Linked DNA regions of Caenorhabditis elegans. The protein of the gene in region 4 purifies or fractionates together with the protein of the main gene of each other region. This does not show direct contact. Each region holds a gene or a part of one and is shown on either strand. Other genes may lie near its edges. The genes, in order: gta-1, agxt-1, tald-1 and alh-1.

Region 1 (5,431 bases), on a different chromosome or scaffold from region 4:
ATTGCTTATTCTGGCTCATAAATACCCACCAAGTGTTCCATCACCAACAGATAGTACTTCTACATTATCACTTTCTATTTTGTTTAATGGTGAGTATAGCTTGATATCTATCAATATTTTTGGTTCAAAAAAATTTTGTAACACAAATTTGGAGTTTATAAAAACCCCTTTGGTTCTAGTTTAAAAATGGTAGTGTGCGTAGAAACGTACATACTATGATCTGTAAATACTTTAAACTTTAATTATATTATATTTATAACAAAATTGATGAATATTCAGATGATACAGCACTTGCATTCAGTATTTGTGCAGCCACAACTTTAGCGTGTCAACTGGAGACAACGGGTTGTGTTGACGTGGTACAGGTTCTTTCATCGTATACCGAAATTCAGTGTGGTATTTTTGCCTCGAAGGTGAAAATCGAATTATCTCATTTTCCAATACCAAATTATTTTGTTTTCAGCAAGAAATCGAGATAATCTATGAAAAGATGTCACAGCTAGTCGGAGGAACACGTGTCTAAAAATTTATAAATTCAATTGGAATCGATCCGAAGTATAACTTCCCGAGAAGAAACAATAAAAAATCAATTTCCGGTGTCATTATAAATGAATATTTAATTTATTAATTATATTTTGAAATAATAACAAGCTAGATGGTCAGCGAAGCAAATAAAATGGATACAGCTTTAAAGAGAAAACAAAAGAAAAAATGATTACAATCCCTTCAAAGTCTTGTCGAGAAGATCGAAAGTCAGATCCAAATGTTTTTTGGTGTAGACGAGTGATGGACGGAAACGAAGTGAACGGTCTCCACATCCTCCACAGTGAAGTCCGTTGCTGATGGCCTAAAATTAAATTGAAGTTTAAGAAATTTAATATATAAATGTAAGATGGCTGAATTTGACATTTATCACTATTAATTCTGCTTACCAAGTCAACAAATTTGTCTCTCAAAGATCCAGATGGGAAGTCAACGGCGGCAAAAGTTCCTCTTCCTCTGGCTTGATCCAACTTTCCTCCAGACGATGCTTGAAGTTCTCCAAGTCTCTTTTGGAATTCAGCTCCAACTTCTCTGCTCTGCTCAATCAATCCATCTCTCTTAATAACCTCAACAGCCTTTTCCAAAAGAAGAAGCTTGGTCGGATCTCCCATCCATGTGTTGTAAATACGGTAAGCCTCCTTAACTCGGAGATGTTCTCCGTAGAAGTATCCTCCTGTCAAAAGTTTCTTTGAGAATGTGACCATATCTGGTGGAGAGCTCAAGTTCCAGTGATCATGAGCCCAGATATCTCCAGTTGCTCCACCTCCAGTTTGAACTTCATCAACAATGAATACAATTCCATGTTTAGAAGTAATATCACGGAGGCCTTGGAAGAATGCTGGACTTCCATAATGATCTCCACCTTCTGCTTGAATTGGTTCAACAATAATTGCAGCTACATCATTATCACGACGTTTCCATTCGGAAATCTTCGCTTCAACGTCAGCAAGACACTCCTGATCTTGCTTCTTATTGTATGCAACATTCTGGTCAAGTGGATACTTATAACGGGGGAACTTGGCAATTGGCCAGTCAAATGCTGGAATATCAACCTGAAAATAATTAATTAGAATTGTTTCGAAATAAAACTTTGAAATACCTTATGAATTGGCTTACTTCTGGTAACCGACAACATGCACAAAGATCTTCCATGGAAAGCTCCTTCAAATCCCATAACTGAAAGATTTGGAGTTCCTGGTTTCTGTTGATTCATGCAGCTTTCCAAATGAAGAGCATCTGGTCCAAGACCTCCTCTTCTCTGAGCTTGATACCAGATAAATGCAGTTTTGATTGCATTCTCGTTGGCCGATGTACCGCAAAGCATTGTTTGAACTGCCTTCAATCCTTTTGGAGCAATTGATGTAAGAGCATGAGAAATTCCATCAGCAAAGTCGGTACGTGGGAAGGATCCAAGAGCTGGACGAGAAACAAGAGATGTCTGAAAATTTATTTTCTAATACATTTCTCAACTTTTCAGTAAGTATCTTGTTTTCTTTAGTTTTATCCAAATATTACAGACAGGCAAATCACTTAATATTTAATTTTTTACTGGTTTCTAGGTGTACGGTTAATGTGAAAATATGGTCATTATGTGCCTTCCTCCTGCCTGCCTGACTGCCTACCGCCTAATTTCTGTATTTGTGCCTGAATGCGGATGCGGCGTAAAACATTTTCATGCGTACATGGAAGGCTAAGTTCGAATGCTCCAATTGATTGTAAGAGGTTCAAAAATTGATTTTGAAATCAATTTATAAAAACTCACAATCAAATGTGGCTGCGAAGCGACCTTAACCAAATCTGGATGATTGTATCCCAAAGGAAGAGATGATATTTGAGTATAGACATCGAGAAGTGCATTTCCTAAATTAAATCCTGGTGTGTAAACTGAAAATAAAAACTAACCATCAGCATCTACAACGTAATTTCCGAATGATTTCTCGTAGTCGACATGGAAACGAACGGATGTAGTTTGCTGAAAAAAAATTTTTTTAATTTTTATAAAATTTTGAAATCTCATATTGCATTTGGAATGATTCATATGTTTCATAACTACAGTATTTTTGACAATATGTATAAAATTTAAATTTCCTTGAAATATTATTTTATTTTTTGTATTATCAATGAAATTGAAGATTTGAAATTAAAAAAACTAAAATCAAATAATCAAAACTCCTGAATGTCAGTTGTCAGTTGACCAGAGAAAGTGTAATATTTCTGAGACGAATTTCATTCGTTCTGTGATAAGGGTAAGAATGTGATGTTCATGTAATTACGGAGTTGAGATGTTGGTTTTTGATTTGAAAATTGAACTGAATGGCTCGAAATTCTTCGCAATTGTGTGACCATTAAATAGCTAATAATGTTTTGTAATCTAAAATTATAATTTATCTATCTTATAATTCTTAATAATTTAGAATCAAATTGACAATGTTGAGCTTCTGTTGAGCAAGTTGTCAGAAAGTTCAGCCAAAGTTTTTGTTTGAAAAGTAATTTCAAGCGATTTCGCCACTGAATAATTGTCAAAAACTAAAACCAATACATAATGAGCGTATAAGATTTAGAATAGATATAAAAAATAAGTTATCACAATTTGAAGGTATTTTAAGGTCCATGATGTTTAAAAAAACCATTTAACTTTCGATATCTCAATTCTTACATGAACTTTATCCATTTCCTGTTTCAACGCCTTTGACTTTGGTCCAGGAATGCTCGTTGAAATACTAGGTCCAGATGGCTCGGCATTTGCAATCGCCGAAACTCCACGCACTAAAATAAACGTTTCAATTGAGTCAGAGCATTTTTTGGAAACATTCTCATGGTGTTGAAGTGTTTTAGTATTTTTTTAAAATTTCAGAAAATTTTGTTTTTTTAATCTTCCAAATTGAAACATGTGGTGAATATCAAAATACCTGCCAATTTACCAAAACTTCGATTTTATCGTTCAGTTTTTCTGATCTTTTCCCTATTCGGTTTTACTCGAGAAAAATCAATTGCCTTCGTTAATGTTTGTGATACTGATAAACTGATAAGAGAATCAAAAAAGTGTTGTTTGTTTCTTTTTCAATGTGTTTTAGGTCAAAGATGCAAGTAAAAAGGGTTGAAAATGAATGTATCTAGAAGAACTAAAAAGCTGCAGGTTAGGTTTTTCAAAATCAAAAATTATATGTTAAATTATTTCCTAAATAAATCCCAGTTGAATCCAAAATATATTAATTGGTTTACCCTGTTGGATTAAAGATGACTTTGCCAGTCTGGGAAGCATTCTTCCTTCTGAAAAAAACTATTCAAATTATTCGAAAATCGATTTGAAAAAAACAAAGAGAAAGAAGAGTAAAATTTGAAGTGGCAGGAGAAAACCGAATAATTTTTTCTCCCGTTTTCTCTTTTTAGGCGTCAAACGAGACGCAGAGAAAGGCAGGGGGAGGAGCTTATGTTTTTTAGTGAAGGAAATAAATGCGTTTTCTAGTGAAAATTGTTTGAAGAAGTAAACTGAAAAATTGGAAGCCAATGGAAGACGTTTATATTGAGCCTGTGAATGGTGTAAACTTGCTCCACGTTGTGCAAAGAAAAAGGCTCGCAGAGCACGAAGGGTGTAATCGGAAGGACAACTGACACAAAGAGATGGGGTCACGTGATCGATTTATTGTTTCTTCAGATTCTGGAGATATCGACAAGTGAAAGAAAAGAGAAAAAGAGAATACAATCTAACCGGTAATCTAAACGTACTTATTAAATCAATGCAATACATAAGAATAGGGAAGTAAAAAATCAGGAATCAGAAATATTAGTTTTTGAATCTGTTCTAGAAGCTCCGGGGAATAAAAAAAAAGATTTTCGATTTTAAGTCAAAGCACCGTTACATTTCTTTAGCTTTATACTACAAAAAGGTATAATAAATTGAGACCTACAAGAACGAATGGACTACTTTTAGAGAAAAAGAAATAGAAGTTTACATGAAATAAAACATTCGTTTCTTGAACTTTTAAGACTAATCAAGTGTTTCTTCAACAAGTAAATGTGCGGCTCTCATATATTTATGCACTGCTGACTCAAAATCGGACTGTTCCAATGGAAGAAGTTGATTTACGGAACCTCCAGAAGCTACAGTAGCTTTTGCTCGAGCGAGAAGAGCAAGACGACAAACCTGAAAAATTACATAACAACACGATTATTGGCGTTTCATTTTCCTGTAACATAAAAACTTAAAATTTTCGAACGCGTATTATTTTTTAAGCTAATTATTGTGTATCTAACTTCTAAATATTTTTAGATGATTTTGGAAGAAGTTGAAATAATTTAAATGAGTTTTTTTAAAATTAAATTCAAAATTGTAAGTTTTTTCAAGCTCACTATTAGAACAACTTGTATTAAATATATACAATTCTCTTCACTAATGTTTTTATTTGTATTTTTTTTTCCTTTAAGGTTACTGTAGACAATTATATTACATTTTATCATATTACAAATTACATTTTTCCTTTAAAATCCAATGCATTTTTCACATTAGAAACATGAATTAATTGTGAAACAGCAATTTATTCTCATGAAGCTCGCAAAACTTTGCGATTTCTGCCCCAAATATTCTCGACACGAAATTTTATGTTAACTATGAAAAGGTGTGTACCTTTAAAGAGTACTGTAATTTCAAACTCTCGTTGTTGCAAAAGTTTAATCGAGTTTTCGTAGTTTTCAATAAAAACACATATACTTATTTGCTGTTTCACTATTAATTCATGTTAAAAATGTATTGGATTTTATAGGAAATCCAAGATATATTATTGTCTACAATTTTTCATGTTGAACAGATTTATATTAAATATTTCGTTACCGAATTCCACTAGAATATATGTGACATATATAGCCACAAAGCGAACTAATAATATTACGA
Region 2 (5,555 bases), on a different chromosome or scaffold from region 4:
CAGTGAAGGTCTAGGTTTGATTTTTCAATTTTCAAACATTTTTGAATTGCTGGTAGCATTTTTAGAAGGCACTTTTCTCCGTCGGAGGTGTCCAGAATGTCAGGAAATGTGCGAATTGATGTGAGCTTTTGAATTTCAGTTCCGTCTCTGAAAATTTTATGGTATGAACGATTTCCTTTTTTACAAAATGTCGAAAAATCAATTTTGATTTTTTAATTAATAAATCTTACTCTAAATTGATTAGAGCCTGATCCAATGGTGATCTTAGCAATTCCTCAAGATCTGGATCTTCTGCCATTTTGAATAGTTTTTCGAAATCCAACTTCATTACAGGAGGTTCTTTTTCTTCTGTCTCGTCATCTTCAATTTGATCATGCTGGAAAACAAAACGAATTCTATAAAATCTTTTCTGAAGAAATTTTGGTGTGAAAGCCGTTTTAAGTAGGCAACTACTGCAAAAATTTAGTATATTTTCCAATGCCTAATTTCATTACTCATTACTCATTTTCACAATCAAAAACTTAAATTTCTAAATCTCGTTTTTTATCATTACAATTATGCCTTACTTTAATATCAACTATAGATTCTCCATCCATTTCTGTGGCAGCGACCATTGAAATGTTGGAAAATGTGATTAGAATATCTGAAATTTTTCGAAAATCAATTTACAATAAGATGAGACAAAGAGCAACACGAGAGAGAGATAAGATAAACGAAAAAAGAAAAGAGTCAACAGTTTGAACGTCCCGCCTTTTTTTCGCATGATCCATCAAGAGGTAGGGGCAGCTCTTTAGATGCATTTTTGTTCGGCAAACAAATGAAACACATTTTCAAAATGGTTTGCGTTGGGCAAGAAAGTTTGAAAGTGTGGTTAGATATGACGAGTGATCTAGAATGATGCAGAAACAACATGATTCTTCAATAATACAAACTCTTTTTGCTTTGGAATGTAGAGGAGGTGGAGGAGAAGCAGGAAGAGGCAGCTGTGACTCCCGGGCGATGAGCAACTATCTCTATCCTCTCGAAACATTCAAAATGATTGGTGAGACGCAGACATCAAGTCGGTGTGTAAAGATATTCGGCCAAGAGGATCGGGATCGAAGGGCACGCTTGTGATCCAGTGTGAGAAGTTAAAAGCGAGGGAGGAGATGAAGAAATGAAGACGAAAAAGCTCAAAGGATGAAGCTGAAGAAAAAAAAGATAGAGAAAGATAGTGTTCACAGCAAAAACAGACACTGAAACCGGAGAGCTTCAAAGATCACGAGACATCACAAATTTGAGTTGACCTGTAATTGAATCCAACTCGATTTCGAAAAACCTGAGCAGTTTTCTTATTTTTATCAATAAAATGTGCAATTGTTCAAAACATTTCAAAATGTGCAATAAACTCGTGTGATCTGGAAAGTGTTCTTCACGAATCAGTACTTTCCGAATTCTCAAGGTATCTCCAGGCATACAAGTGAATTGGCTGAAAAACTCATTTATAGATTTGGGTAAAGAAAAATGTGAGGAGATTTCAGACGAAGCTAGGCGAAATTCAAGGAATAAGATGTAGAAGCTAAATTTGAAAATGTTCAGAAGTTAATATCTCAAAGCTTTATTATTTTTCCAAAGTTAACACAAACCAATGAACTTTTAAATATTAATTTCTAAATTTATTCATCGTATCAATTTCTGTAGACGTGAAATGCTATTTTCATGGAAATGAAACTAGAAAAAAAATTTATTCCGAAGTCTAAACTTCTCTGGATCTGCTCGTTGTTCGAGGTAAAGTTCAAATTAAACTCTCTTGAAGTTGGTAATCTTTCTCGATTTGTATTGTTTTGAGTAAGATAAGTTGGTAGTCCTTAAATTTTCTAGTTTCATTATTTGGTAGACAATTTTGAAAAATGTTTTAATGTTTTTTTGTAGCCATCTGACTAATTCCACGTCATTGATTAGACCACTTTAGTTCCCATTATAGCTTATTGTTCGCACTTTATTAAAATTTTAACTGATTTTTAAACTGTGTATTTAAAAAATTCCACTAGTTTTTTTCGGATGATCTCCTAAATCTTGAAACGTTATTTTCTAGATTAACGGAAATGTGCCAATGAACTATCCATAAAAATTATGCTCAAACCAAATTGCAAAAAAGTGTTGTTTTCCACTCAATTTCCATAAACTATAAAATAACCACGAGGTTTTCCCCAGTGCACTTTCAAGTGTTTCTTTGAACTCTTCTCTAAAAATTGACCGATCTCTGGGTGTCTTCTCGTTATCATTTATACCATCGACTGGTCATTTATACATTGTGATAAAATAGCCCCTCAGTCAGTCAGTCAGTCAGTGAAAATGAAAGAACAATGTACTTTGAGGAGTCACAGAGATATTTGCCGCCTGCAGGACAACCTCCTCAAGTTTTCTTCTCTACCTCAATATTCTTCCTCAATTGATTTAATTTCGAAGATATGATTTCAACGCGATTTCTAAGACCTTCAGTCTCGATTTTTGGATTTGGAATTAAGGTGAGTTCAATTGGTTCAAAAATAATAGGTTTATTGAGTACACAAATTGGAACCGCCTCTGAGAGTTTATTGTCATCATACATCAACATATGTGTTATCATTGATGAAACTGTTCATTGATACAATCTTTTTAGTTACTGCAATTATTTTATATTTATATGCCATTGTTCATTAAAAAAAGTTTTTGAAGGTTTTTTCCTTAAAAAAAATTATCTAACAGCATGAAAATTATGTCTTTCGAGTTCAAACTCTAAAATCATGTACTTGATTTTTACAGTATTTGGTGAAAAAAAAACCCACTTTGATTTATGGAAAATTTCTAACCATCTAGTATGCCGTTTGGCATTCGACCCTTCAACCCTTCTCCCCTAGACATCAAACCAATTCTTGACCATTTGGACACACCGTTCAATCTCCTCTTGACCAATTGGTTTCTCTGTGTCTCTACTCCATTCTACATGCAAATAGAGCGCATTTCATATTAGTTCCATGTCAGTACTGCGAAATGGAAAACATTTTAGTTAAATTTAAGATCAGTTTTTCGTTAATGTTTTGTTTTTAATAACATTTGTTTTGAGAACCACGTGTTGAACGACCTTTTAGTTATTATATTCTCAAATTATCACTTCCAAATCGATTACCATGTTCTTCGAGTATTTATGTATTTTACTTTTTTTCCAGTCATCAATGTCGTCTCGTGCTCCACCAAAAGCTCTTCTGCAAGATATGGTTGTCCCACCGCGGCAACTTTTTGGACCAGGACCATCGAACATGGCTGATTCGATTGCTGAGACCCAATCTCGCAATTTGTTAGGACACTTGCATCCAGAATTTGTTCAGGTATCTTTTTATGTTTTGTTGGAAAAATAGTAAATCGAAAACTAATTCATAAAGCTTTAATTTCAGATTATGGCAGATGTTCGTCTGGGTCTTCAGTATGTCTTCAAAACCGACAATAAGTATACGTTTGCTGTCAGTGGAACTGGTTAGTGTGCATATATCAACTTTCTCAATATCAAATCTAATATTCAGGTCATTCTGGAATGGAATGCGCGATGGTTAATCTTCTCGAGCCCGGGGACAAATTCCTTGTAGTAGAAATTGGACTTTGGGGACAAAGAGCTGCTGATTTGGCTAATAGGTTTTTAAAATCAATATTCTTGTTACAAATTAAAAATTGATAGAATGGGAATCGAAGTTAAGAAGATTACTGCTCCGCAGGGGCAAGCAGTTCCAGTTGAGGATATCAGAAAGGCAATTGCTGATTACAAACCAAATTTGGTTTTTGTCTGTCAGGGAGATAGTTCAACGGGAGTTGCTCAACCATTGGAAACAATTGGAGATGCTTGCAGAGAGCATGGTGCTCTGTTCCTTGTTGATACGGTTTGTGGTTTTTTTTAACTTTCTCGATCCTCACCATTTATTTATAAATCTTACAATGTTTCAAAAATTAACGGTTTTGTTTCTGAAAAGTTTAAGGTGTTTTTTAATGTAGTAAAATTGAAATTTGCCGAACGAGTCTCAAAATTGAAAATAGATGTTTAATGATCAAAGTTTTCATTTTCAGGTGGCGTCCCTCGGTGGAACTCCATTTGCAGCAGATGATCTGAAAGTTGATTGTGTCTATTCGGCAACCCAGAAAGTTCTCAACGCTCCACCAGGACTTGCGCCTATCTCATTCTCCGATCGAGCCATGTAAGAATAAGAAACAAAACACATATAGTTGCATTCCTCTTCATTTTTAGGGAAAAAATCCGGAACCGAAAACAACGCGTCGCCTCGTTCTACTTTGATGCCATCGAATTGGGCAACTATTGGGGTTGTGATGGAGAATTGAAAAGGTTGGAAAAAACTATGAAATGATGAAATTTATTGAAAAATTTCAGATATCACCACACTGCTCCAATCTCCACTGTATATGCTCTTCGTGCAGCACTTTCTGCAATTGCAAAAGAAGGAATTGATGAATCAATCCAAAGACATAAAGATAATGCTCAAGTGTTGTATGCTACTCTGAAAAAGCATGGATTGGAACCATTTGTAGTGGATGAGAAATTGAGATTGCCATGTTTGACTACTGTGAAAGTACCGGAGGGTGTTGACTGGAAAGATGTTGCTGGAAAAATGATGACAAATGGAACGGAGGTAAATTCGAAAATCCACCAATTTGAAGTTTGAAAACCGTAACTTGTTTTAATTTTAGATTGCTGGAGGACTTGGTGCAACTGTTGGTAAAATCTGGAGAATCGGAACGTTTGGAATTAACTCGAATTCGACAAAAATCGAAAATGTTGTGGAACTTTTGTCGAAATCAATTGGAGAGAAAAGGTCAAAAATTTAATTGATCCGTTTCCTTATCAAATTATTTATATTTTCAGCAAGTAGATCCATCAGTCGTAGATCCATCAATTTGTGATTTCATGCTAATTTATGATTTATTGTAATTTCGTATGCGTTTTGTATGAACATTTTAAATTTATTTAATGTTTTTATGGGTTTTAATTTGAATGAACAAAAAACAAGAATTTCTATTTACATGATAAAAATAGAAGAAGCGAAGGAAAAACAGTCGATGACCGGGGGAATAATCAATTACTGAAAGACCATCAAGAAAGAAGAACAGAAAAATTTCAACTAATCTAAAAGAAATGTAAAGCAAATGAAAGAGGAGCTAACAAATGAAAAAGTGAATGGCGGAATGAAATGAAACAATTTAAGAAATGAATGAGACTACTCGTAATGAATTCGGGTTGACAAGGAAATGATCACCCACTATTTACCTCAAATGTCCCGTGCCTGATGAAAATGAATTTTTGAGTCAAAAATTAAAACAATTAGAAATTAAGCCTTATCGGAAGGCTTTAATTGAATTTCCGAATCTGTTGGTGGACTCGGTTTGAGTGTAGTTTTTGGTGGAGAGGCAAGCAATAACCTTTCGATATTCAGAGCTGGAAGTTCACTGACCATTGTGCATATTATGGCAAAGAAATATGTAATGAGAAGTTGAACAAAACAATGAATGAAGAGTGGAATTTGAGTATTGAAATA
Region 3 (4,563 bases), on a different chromosome or scaffold from region 4:
TTTCAGATTCTATAGTTTCTTGAGCAAATAATTATTTCTTTGTATTCAGAGAGGACAAATCTGCCTTGAACAAGCTCGTCGAGACCGTCAACAACAACTTCAGCGAGCGTCACGAGGAGATCCGCAAGCACTGGGGAGGAGGTGTCATGTCCGCCAAGTCTGATGCCAAGAAGCTCAAGATCGAGCGCGCTCGTGCCCGTGATCTTGGAAAGCTCTAAATTGTTTTTGTTGATAATAAAAACTTGTTATTCAAAGCTTGTATCTTTTTCAATAATTGGTAGTCTTCGTGGTACTCATTTGGATCGGTCTTGTTGGATATTGTTGAGAACAGTTTTCCCGAGAAGTGTCTCCCTAGTTCGTCGTTGTCTTGGAGCTTGCTGGTTGTCTGCGATATGGTTTCACTGAACAATTCTAGTTGGGTTCAATTCCGGGTGTCACAGCCACAACTGTCCAGAAACTTGCAGAGTGCGATAAGAGTTCGGCTATTTTGTGTATCTTGCCTTTACAGTGCTCTTTAAATTACATAAGGGTTCATTAAAATACGTAACGAAATATTTAAGGGGAAATCACAACACTGATGAAATTGGGGAAAACTAGTAAGCACGACAAATACATCAATCAATACAATTTAGATCTTTGCCTCGATAAGCTTCTCCAGAGTTCTGGCGTCTTTGGCAAAGTTGCGGATTCCTTCGGCGAGCTTCTCGGTGGCCATGGCGTCCTCGTTGAGAGCCCATCTGAACGCCTTCTCGTCAATGCTCACTTTCGGCAGGTCGAGTGTCTTGGCTGGAAAATAATTAAAAATTGCAATTTTTAATTGATTAAATCTCCCGCTCACCATGAGAAGTGGAGAGCACAACTGGAGCAAGTTCCGTCTCCGCAGCAAGTTGCTTCAGAAGAGCCGGAGAAATAGTAAGAAGATCACATCCAACAAGTCCCTTGATCTCTTCAGTATTACGGAACGAGGCAGCCATCACTTGTGTCTTATAGTCGTATTTCTTGTAATAATTAAAGATTCGAGTAACACTGACAACTCCTGGATCGTCTTTTCGAGTGTAGGCCTTCTGATCGGTATTCTTCACGAACCAATCCATGATTCTTCCGACGAATGGCGAGATTAGGGTGACTCCTGACTCGGCACACGCGACTGCTTGCTCAAAGTTGAAGAGCAGTGTCATGTTGCAGTGGATTCCGTGCTTAGATTCGAGGAATCTGAAAATTTAATTTTTTGCTGATTTTGAACTATTTCCGTTATAATTAATGCCTTAAACTCTTTTGAAAAATGTCAATTTGGGTCCAATTGAGTAGATTTTCAGTAGAAAACTAATAGAAACGAGACTTTGTATGTTTCGAAAAGGTATGTCCGTAGATTTTAGGTGATTTACAAGAAAAATCGAAGCATTTCTAGTTTTTAATTTAAAATGTGTTAATTTTTAACAATTTCATCTTGTATAATTCGTTTTTTAATTGATTTTTTCGAAACTAGTAGTGTTTTAAACCAAGCAAATCATCAAAAATGGGTAAAATTTCATCAAGTTTGATTTTTAAAAAAAAGTTTTTTAACTGAAAAGTTTTCCTAAAATCTCCAATGCCGTACTTAGCAGCCCGAATTCCTTCCCAAGTTGAAGCAAGTTTGATAAGAATCCGATCCTTCGAGATTCCTTCCTTCTCGTATTGAGCAATAAGTCCAAGAGCCCGATCAATCGATGCTTGAGTATCAAATGAAAGACGAGCATCAACTTCTGTGGAAACTCTTCCTGGAATAGTTTTCAGGATTTCTTTTCCAAAAACTACAAAAAGTCGATCCATAGCCGCTTGGAGCACTTCTTGATGTCCACTGGCGTGCTCTTTTGCGTAGGCAACTGATTGATCGATTAATGCTGCGTATTGCTCCATTTTTGAGGCGGCCAGGATGAGCGATGGGTTGGTAGTTGCATCTGTTGGCTGGAATTCCTTGATCGCTGAAAAAAATCGATTTTTTGAGAACAATTTTTGAAAAAAGTACTTTTTTCAACTGGAAAATTCGAGTTTTATTTTTCGATTTTTGACTTTTTACACAAAATCGAGGAAAAAAACAAAGGTGTGCGCCTTTAAGACTTACAGTAACCCATTTCCTGATTTTTTAAATTAATTTTTCACGCTTTTCATCTAAATTCTTGAGAGAAAACGTTGAAAAATGAAAAAAAAAACGAAATTGAAGGAACGTCTGGGTACTGTACTTTTGAAAGGCGCAAACACATTTTTTTCAAAATAAATATTTTTCACCAGTATTTACAAAAATTTAGAAAAAAGAGAATTCATCGAATTATCCAAAAAAAGTTTTTCACAGCTTTTTTTGGAATTTTTGAAAAATTCTAATTTTTAAATGGCACATTCCAGAAATTTACAATACTTCCATAAAATTTAATAGTATTTATTTTTAAAATGTTTTAACGAATTTTTTGGAAACTTCTTGAAAATATGTATTTTTTTCTCTAAAAAAATTAATTTAAAAAGTTCAAAAAGTCAGATTTCTATCTGAAAATCGAGAAATTTACTGTTTTTTACATTATAACAGTGGTCTTCCTAGAAAAATCGAATTTTCAGATAATTTAATTTTTTTTCAAAACTGCCAAAAAAAATCAATTATTCACCACATTTTCGAACTTTTTCTTAATGTTCAAAATTTTTACCATTAAAATCTCCAGTATCCGCAACAACGACTGATGCTCCTTTGAGTTGTTCCAAAACCGACATGATTTCCCTAGAAAAAGTCAAAAAAAAATCAATAATCGTGAAAATTACGGGAAAAATCGCGTGAGAGAGATCGAATGGAAAGTGCAGCCCATTGATAGCATCAAAGATAACAAAAACCGTATCAAAAAAATTTCAAATTTTTAATAGATATAATGATAATGATAATTCGACTAACCAATGTGAAAACAATGAACAATGAACAAAAAATAACAAAAAAGGGGGAAAATTTCAAAAAAAAAGTAACAACTCATAAAAAAATGACGATAAAAGGAGTAGGGAAGTGAGAAAAACAGTTTTCGAAAAAAAGTAACAAAAATGATGATAAAAAGGTATAAAGTAAAGTAGTAACAAAAAAACAAGAATATGACTAAATGTGTGTAGTTTGCAGTCTGTAGTTTGTAGCCTCTCAACTATGATGTGTCGTCGTCATTTCGAACCATTGACGAATCGATTCGGCAATCACCGATGGTAGTTGTTGAACTGATTTGACGAGAGCGTAGAATGGGAACGGGAACAGGGCGAGGTATGGCGTGAGTACCTGCAGGAAAAATTGGAAATTGTCAGCAGTTTTATGGGGGCAAATGGCAAGAGAATCGGGGGGTTTTCGAGAAAAAAAAGAAAGTAAATATTGTTCTTTGTAGTCAAATATGATCAAATTTCACACATTTTTTTGGGAATTTTAACACGAAAAAAAGGAAAAATCTTCAAAAATTGGAAAATTTATTGAGTTTTGAAATTTATTTGCGAAATTCCTTTCGAATATTTTGACCTAGTTTCAATTTTTTGTTTCATTTTTTAAATATTATTTTAAACACAATTTCTCACATTTTCAGACAGTTTTCCGCAAAAAATTATTTAAAAATGTGAAATTATCGATTTTTAGGTCAAAATTGAAGCGAAAATCGTCAAAATGCCAAAAAAGTCTACTGAAATTTAAATTTCAGACCTAAAAATATACAAATAATCGGCCATAGAAGACTGAAATAACGAAAAAAAAACTTTTGTAATTTTAAAAGCAAATTTTTGCTGAAAATCCTATAATTACCGTAACCTCGGCGTTTGTTCAATATCGAGAATGGAAAATTACCAGTTTTTAAAAAATTAAAATTAAAAAAAACGTTTTTTGTAGTCAAATATGATCAAATTTCACACATTTTTTGGGTATTTTAAATGAGCGGCAATTCTAGAAAATGGTCTGTTGCACCATGTTGTTCCAACATTTTTACAACTTGAAATTAGTTTAAAAATATGAAAAATCACTCGATTTATTTGAAAATAACATTAATTTCAGCTGAAGCCTTCGAGAAAATGCCCAGAAATGGCTTGAAAGTTGACTAATTTCGGCAATTGTCAACTTTCTGGCCTTTTTTGAGCAATTTCTCAAATTTTCAGTCGAATAAATGTCATTTTCAGATAAATCAACTAATTTTCTATACTTTGACACTAATTTTGGAGGAAAATGTTGAAAATGCATGGTGCTACGTCACCTCGAAAACAATTTTTTTTTCAGAGTGTAACTTCAAATAAAATGGAAAATGTATATTTTTTTAATTGGATTTTTCTTTAAAAAATACCCATAATAATCTAAAACTGGGATATTTTTGAAAAAAAACATATTTCCAGTCAAAAATAGCAGATTTCAACTGAAATCGTCTGATTTTGAAATTTTAAACATGCCAATTACAAGTTTTGGGTGAAAATGTTGATTTTTTAAACCAAAATTGGCAAATTTTCACTAAATTGCCCCGATTTCTAGCTAAAAAAATCCTGGAATGTTGAAAATGTGATTTTTTGAATGAAAATTTGCGAAATTCTATCTGAATCAAT
Region 4 (5,255 bases):
TACTCCAGCCGAAGTGGATTTTGTTCTTTAAAAGTGGGAAGAAGCTTGAAAACTAGAGATATATGAGATTTGAATAAAGGACTAGAAAATGATTTTGTTTTGCTAAATTAACAAAAACTATGAATCCTCAACTACAGTTGGCTCCTCCTAATAGTTCATCATCTTAGAGCTAATGAAGTTCTGGCGTCCAATATCTTTTGGCAGATTTCAAAAAAAAAAACGAACATAGATCTTTCGGATTCTAAGTTTAACTGGAAGAATTAACACATTTGTTCACTTCAAGATTCATCTGGTTTCATTGTTGACAACATGAACCTTCGAAATTGTTGGTTAAAGTTTAACATTAATTTTGTTTACAGCTCCAATAGTCTCTTATGGAAAACAAAATTTAATATTCTATCCTACAGTCCTTTCTTTTCAACTGTTATTTAACATTTATGAATCATGTTCCATTATGACCTAAGACATATTGTGGCCTATACAAATTGTGACCTATGACATATTATCATTACTTTCAAACAATAATCTTCAAGCGACCCGTGCTTCTCATGCTTGTGAAATGCTGAAATGCTTTTTTATTCAACTGTATGACATTTTTCAAACATGTGCAGAGAAACTTGAATGCTTTCATTTTCTCAAAAGATTCCCACGGCTGACGATTTTTTTCTTGAAGCCCGAAGCCTAATTGATATGATAAAAAAAACTTCAGATTTTCGTTACATTCGTCCTTTTTTTCTTGTTACTTCATTAAGCCAAGTGTTGACTTTGTAACTGCTTTCTCTGGAGTAGAGTTTCTAAAGGTTCGTAGTGTCTCGCCACCAAGCGCGCTCTGTTGAGCAAGGGCACCGCGCCAGTTTCGAAGTTTCTTTCTATTTTAAAAACATTTTTAGCTCTTTTTTTCGGATTTTCTCGCAGTTTGAGAATATTTTCCTGAATGTTTATCTTCCGTTTGAATTAAGATCGCGTTTCCTCTCAGAATTAAGTTATATCTGTCAATAAAAACAAATCTCAGCTGAAATGCTTGCACGTTTGTTTATTTTCTGCTGGTTTTAGGCAGGACTAACGATGAATCTTGTTGTTAACCACTCTGTTTATATTTGATAATTCTTAATTTTGTAGTTGATTTCTGCTGAAACTATTCCTGTCTCTGTCGTTCAATCTTTCCAAAGTTTTTCATTTATCATCATTTCCAAAGATCCCATCTCGACATGGAAATATTAAATGGTCAAGGGTTAAATCATGTTGTGCAATACTTGACTATTCTTCAGGACTCCAAAAAATTCTCATTATTTTGTGCTGGTTCTATTCGAGCACGTGCTTCTTCATCTTTTTGTTTTCGAAGATGTTTCGTTGAAGTATATTTGTGTGTGCAGTTCTCTGCATCTCCGCCTTTTTGACTCCTCCTCTGTCACTTTTCAACCATCGCTCAGTGTTCTCTTATCTATTTCGACCCTAACCATCGAGGCTGGCGTGTTTGTCCATTCTTTTCATATCTAATCTTTAGTTTTCTCTATTTTGTTTAGAGTTGAATTTTTGGAAGAAGATTAGTTAATCGATTTTGAATAATTTTGTCAGAAGTCTCTGCAATACTGATATTCACTTTTTGCCACAGTTTTTAGATATACTGATTCGATGTTTCCGAATTACCACTGGAACTAGTTTATTTTCTATTTAATTAAAATTTAAAATGTTCTATGAAGAAACGAGCTGCTGTGAACTCACAATATCTAACCTCATTCACCTGTAAATTTTTATTTTGCGTCCTCTTTCTAATTTCTTTAAAATCTTGCCTTATTCGGGTAAATCCTTTATAATTTTTATTTTCAGAATGCTCCGTTCAGCTCTCCGGGCAACAGTTCAGGCACGAAATGCCTCCGGTGTTCCACCAGGTCTTTCCAACATGAAACCACAATACACCGGCGTAAGTTTCTCAGAACGTTGTTTTAAAAAAATTGCAAAAAAGATAGGAATCACACAGGATAACCTTGAAAATGGAGACAATGTTGAGAGAGACTCTAATTTGAATTTTGAAAGAAAAAATTACGGAGCCCATTGGATCGCCAATTTCTAAAAACGTTGATTTTCAAGTAATTTGTGTTTAAAGAAAAAGAAAACAAAAGTGGAAATTGTGCATCGAATCTTATTGGTTTTTCTCAAAAATCCGTATTTTCCGCGAAATTCAAAGTTACAAGAACATCACATTACGTGCGCTTTGAAACCGCCGTTATCAGAAACTGCAACAGAAACCAAAAAGATGAATTTGAACCTTTTGATCTGTTTTTCTGCTGCAAAAATGTTCTCTTCTCATGTTTTCATTACATTATTTCAACGGAACCACGTGCCCTCAACGTTGTGCTCTGTTGTGTACCTAGTACACAGAGTACGATCAATTTAAAATGATGATAATAAAAAGAAAAAGAAGAGAGCTGATACTATCTCATAGGGAAAACGTGGTCGCCTGAGGTGGAGAACGAAATGAACAATGAACTCGGTCAACAGTGAGATAGGGCAATCAAAACTGAACGATGATCGGATTTGAGAAAATAAACTTAGAGGGCAGAATTAGGACGAAATGTGATACTTCTCCAAATCAGGGATTCAAATTTCAAAAAAGTTTATATCTAAATTTCCAGATCTTCATCAACAATGAATTTGTGCCAGCCAAGTCTGGAAAGACTTTTGAGACTATCAATCCAGCCAACGGAAAAGTTTTGGCTCAAGTCGCAGAAGGAGATAAAACAGATGTCAATATCGCTGTCAAGGTTTAAATCTAAATTCGAATTTTAAAGCAATCTTCAAACTTTTCTAGGCTGCTCAAAATGCATTCCGTATCGGCAGTGAGTGGAGACGAATGGATGCTTCTCAACGTGGAGTTCTTCTGAATAGACTAGCTGATTTAATGGAGAGAGATCGAGTTATTTTGGCATCTTTGGAATCTTTGGATAATGGAAAGCCATATGCAGTTGCTTACAATGCTGATCTGCCACTTTCTATCAAGACTCTTCGGTGAGTTCGAATAGCATAAATTGGAGAATTTTGCTGTAAAAAAATCCCAAAATAGTCTGTAATTAAGAAGAAAACTCAGAAAAAACGAAAAACTTTACTGCCAAATGAGCAAAGAGATCTACAAAAATAATTTCGAATTCTCAATTTTATGAGAGAAAAAAATCGAAAAACAAAAATTTTTGATTGTCCGGACAACCGTAAATCAAAAAAAACTGTTTAGAAAATTAACAGCCAAAAAATGCAATTTTTTGAATCAAATTTTGTTTGTATTGATGAGAAAAATTAAAATTTATTGTAAAAAAAGGAAAAATGGCTAACATTAAAAAATAACTTTATTACAGTTATTACGCCGGATGGGCTGACAAGAATCACGGAAAGACTATTCCAATCGAGGGTGACTACTTCACTTACACTCGTCACGAACCGGTGGGAGTCTGCGGACAGATTATTCCATGGAACTTCCCACTTCTTATGCAAGCTTGGAAACTTGGACCAGCGTTGGCTATGGGAAACACAGTCGTTATGAAGGTCGCCGAACAGACTCCACTTTCAGCCCTTCACGTGGCTGCTCTCACAAAAGAAGCTGGATTCCCAGATGGAGTGGTTAATATCATTCCAGGTCAGTTTTGTAAAAATTGTGAGTTTCTCAAATAAATAAATTCCAGGATACGGACATACTGCCGGACAAGCTATTTCGTCGCACATGGATGTTGACAAAGTCGCTTTTACTGGATCAACTGAAGTTGGAAGACTTGTTATGAAGGCTGCTGCAGAATCGAATGTCAAGAAGGTCACTTTGGAACTCGGAGGAAAATCACCAAACATCATTTTCGCTGACGCTGATCTCAATGATTCCGTTCATCAAGCCAACCACGGACTCTTCTTCAATCAAGGACAGTGCTGTTGTGCCGGATCCAGAACATTTGTCGAAGGAAAGATCTATGATGATTTCGTAGCTCGTTCCAAGGAATTGGCCGAGAAGGCTGTTATCGGAGATCCATTTGATTTGAAAACTACTCAAGGACCACAAGTTGACGGAAAGCAGGTTGAGACTATTTTAAAATATATCGCTGCTGGAAAGAAGGATGGAGCTCAATTGGTGACTGGAGGAGCCAAACACGGAGATCAAGGACACTTTGTGAAGCCAACTATCTTCGCTAATGTTAAGGATCAGATGACTATTGCTCAAGAAGAAATCTTTGGACCTGTTATGACTATCATTAGATTCGACACAATGGAAGAATTAGTTGAAAAGGCTAATAACACTATTTATGGATTGGCTGCTGGAGTTATGACTAAGGATATTGATAAGGCACTTCATATTGCCAACGCAACCAGAGCTGGATCTGTCTGGGTTAATTGTTACGATGTGTTCGATGCTGCTGCTCCATTCGGAGGATTCAAGCAGTCCGGTAAGCTAATTTATTATTAAAATTTCTCCATGCCAAAGTTAAAAAATACTTTTTCTTTTAGGAATCGGTCGCGAACTCGGAGAATATGGTCTTGAGGCATACACTGAAGTAAAGACTGTCACCATCAAGGTTCCACAGAAGAACTCATAAATTTCTTGAATTTTCGCTTTCCCTGTAATTTTTGTTCCTTTTGCTTTTTTTTTTGAAAAATGTTTATTGCTCTTAATATACGTGTTGTATTTATCTATTTTTCACATATATTGAAAAAGAATTCTGAAAGAAATAGACACCTACAGGACGACTCATAAAAGTCTCGACTTCTTTGTGAATTGATTGATTCAGGACAAACGAATTATTACTCTGTACATTAGAGGATCAGTCGTAAAATCTTCAAAAGGCAAAAATTTTACGAGCTTCCGGTAGGTTACGCGAAATTTTAAAAAAAATTTGGAACGCTTCACGAATTTGCGTGTCATCCTTGCGCAGGGGCCATGCTAATCTTCTCTGTATTGTTCCAATTTTAGTATATGTTCTCGGAAGAACGAGACAGCCAGGACCAGTTGTTGCTTATATAGTGGCCACCTGCAAGGCGGCAGACATCTCGTGGGTTCCGCAATTCTCCGTCAAGCAACTCAAAAAGGGCAAGAATCGAACCAAAACTTGATACTTATTTCCGTCAATAACTTTTTAGCCAATGAATCGATATTAATAATTTTTTATGTGTTCGTTCTACATGTCATGTTTTAACAGGTAACAAAGTTTCAGAAAATTTGAAGCATTTCTAACGGAGATAATAGGCAAATTAGACAGCATGTTGCAGCACAATTATTTCACACA

The links.
Region 1: the proteins of alh-1 (region 4) and gta-1 fractionate together in Caenorhabditis elegans (co-fractionation; one large-scale study listed by BioGRID). This does not show direct contact.
Region 2: the proteins of alh-1 (region 4) and agxt-1 fractionate together in Caenorhabditis elegans (co-fractionation; one large-scale study listed by BioGRID). This does not show direct contact.
Region 3: the proteins of alh-1 (region 4) and tald-1 fractionate together in Caenorhabditis elegans (co-fractionation; one large-scale study listed by BioGRID). This does not show direct contact.

What each region holds. Positions count from the first base shown.
Region 1 is NC_003282.8:10,179,042-10,184,472, reverse strand, and holds gta-1 (putative 4-aminobutyrate aminotransferase, mitochondrial), read right to left. Parts: upstream 3,814-5,431; 5' UTR 3,806-3,813; coding exon 3,766-3,805; intron 3,310-3,765; coding exon 3,200-3,309; intron 2,516-3,199; coding exon 2,446-2,515; intron 2,404-2,445; coding exon 2,306-2,403; intron 1,982-2,305; coding exon 1,643-1,981; intron 1,596-1,642; coding exon 933-1,595; intron 848-932; coding exon 716-847; 3' UTR 534-715; downstream 1-533. Other genes in the region: ptrg-1 (Tyrosine-protein phosphatase 4), read left to right, coding at 1-89, 280-413, 464-523; mspn-1 (Mitochondrial sorting homolog), read right to left, coding at 4,532-4,687.
Region 2 is NC_003280.10:8,843,873-8,849,427, forward strand, and holds agxt-1 (Alanine--glyoxylate aminotransferase), read left to right. Parts: upstream 1-1,725; 5' UTR 1,726-1,767; intron 1,768-2,357; 5' UTR 2,358-2,450; coding exon 2,451-2,507; intron 2,508-3,188; coding exon 3,189-3,347; intron 3,348-3,413; coding exon 3,414-3,492; intron 3,493-3,539; coding exon 3,540-3,648; intron 3,649-3,691; coding exon 3,692-3,890; intron 3,891-4,074; coding exon 4,075-4,202; intron 4,203-4,252; coding exon 4,253-4,348; intron 4,349-4,393; coding exon 4,394-4,652; intron 4,653-4,710; coding exon 4,711-4,835; intron 4,836-4,885; coding exon 4,886-4,892; 3' UTR 4,893-5,030; downstream 5,031-5,555. Other genes in the region: F46C5.6 (Serine/threonine-protein phosphatase 4 regulatory subunit 4), read right to left, coding at 1-147, 231-376, 567-614; oac-46 (Acyltransferase 3 domain-containing protein), read right to left, coding at 5,349-5,555.
Region 3 is NC_003282.8:4,384,831-4,389,393, reverse strand, and holds tald-1 (Transaldolase), read right to left. Parts: upstream 2,744-4,563; 5' UTR 2,737-2,743; coding exon 2,673-2,736; intron 1,962-2,672; coding exon 1,598-1,961; intron 1,213-1,597; coding exon 839-1,212; intron 787-838; coding exon 629-786; 3' UTR 514-628; downstream 1-513. Other genes in the region: rpl-7A (Large ribosomal subunit protein eL8), read left to right, coding at 50-218; F55F10.1 (Midasin), read right to left, coding at 3,143-3,274.
Region 4 is NC_003281.10:5,075,938-5,081,192, forward strand, and holds alh-1 (Aldehyde dehydrogenase domain-containing protein), read left to right. Parts: upstream 1-1,827; 5' UTR 1,828-1,828; coding exon 1,829-1,921; intron 1,922-2,633; coding exon 2,634-2,762; exon of another isoform or gene 2,763-2,809; coding exon 2,810-3,006; intron 3,007-3,347; coding exon 3,348-3,625; intron 3,626-3,671; coding exon 3,672-4,418; intron 4,419-4,479; coding exon 4,480-4,568; 3' UTR 4,569-4,724; downstream 4,725-5,255. Other genes in the region: Inactive tau-tubulin kinase ttbk-6, read left to right, coding at 1-31.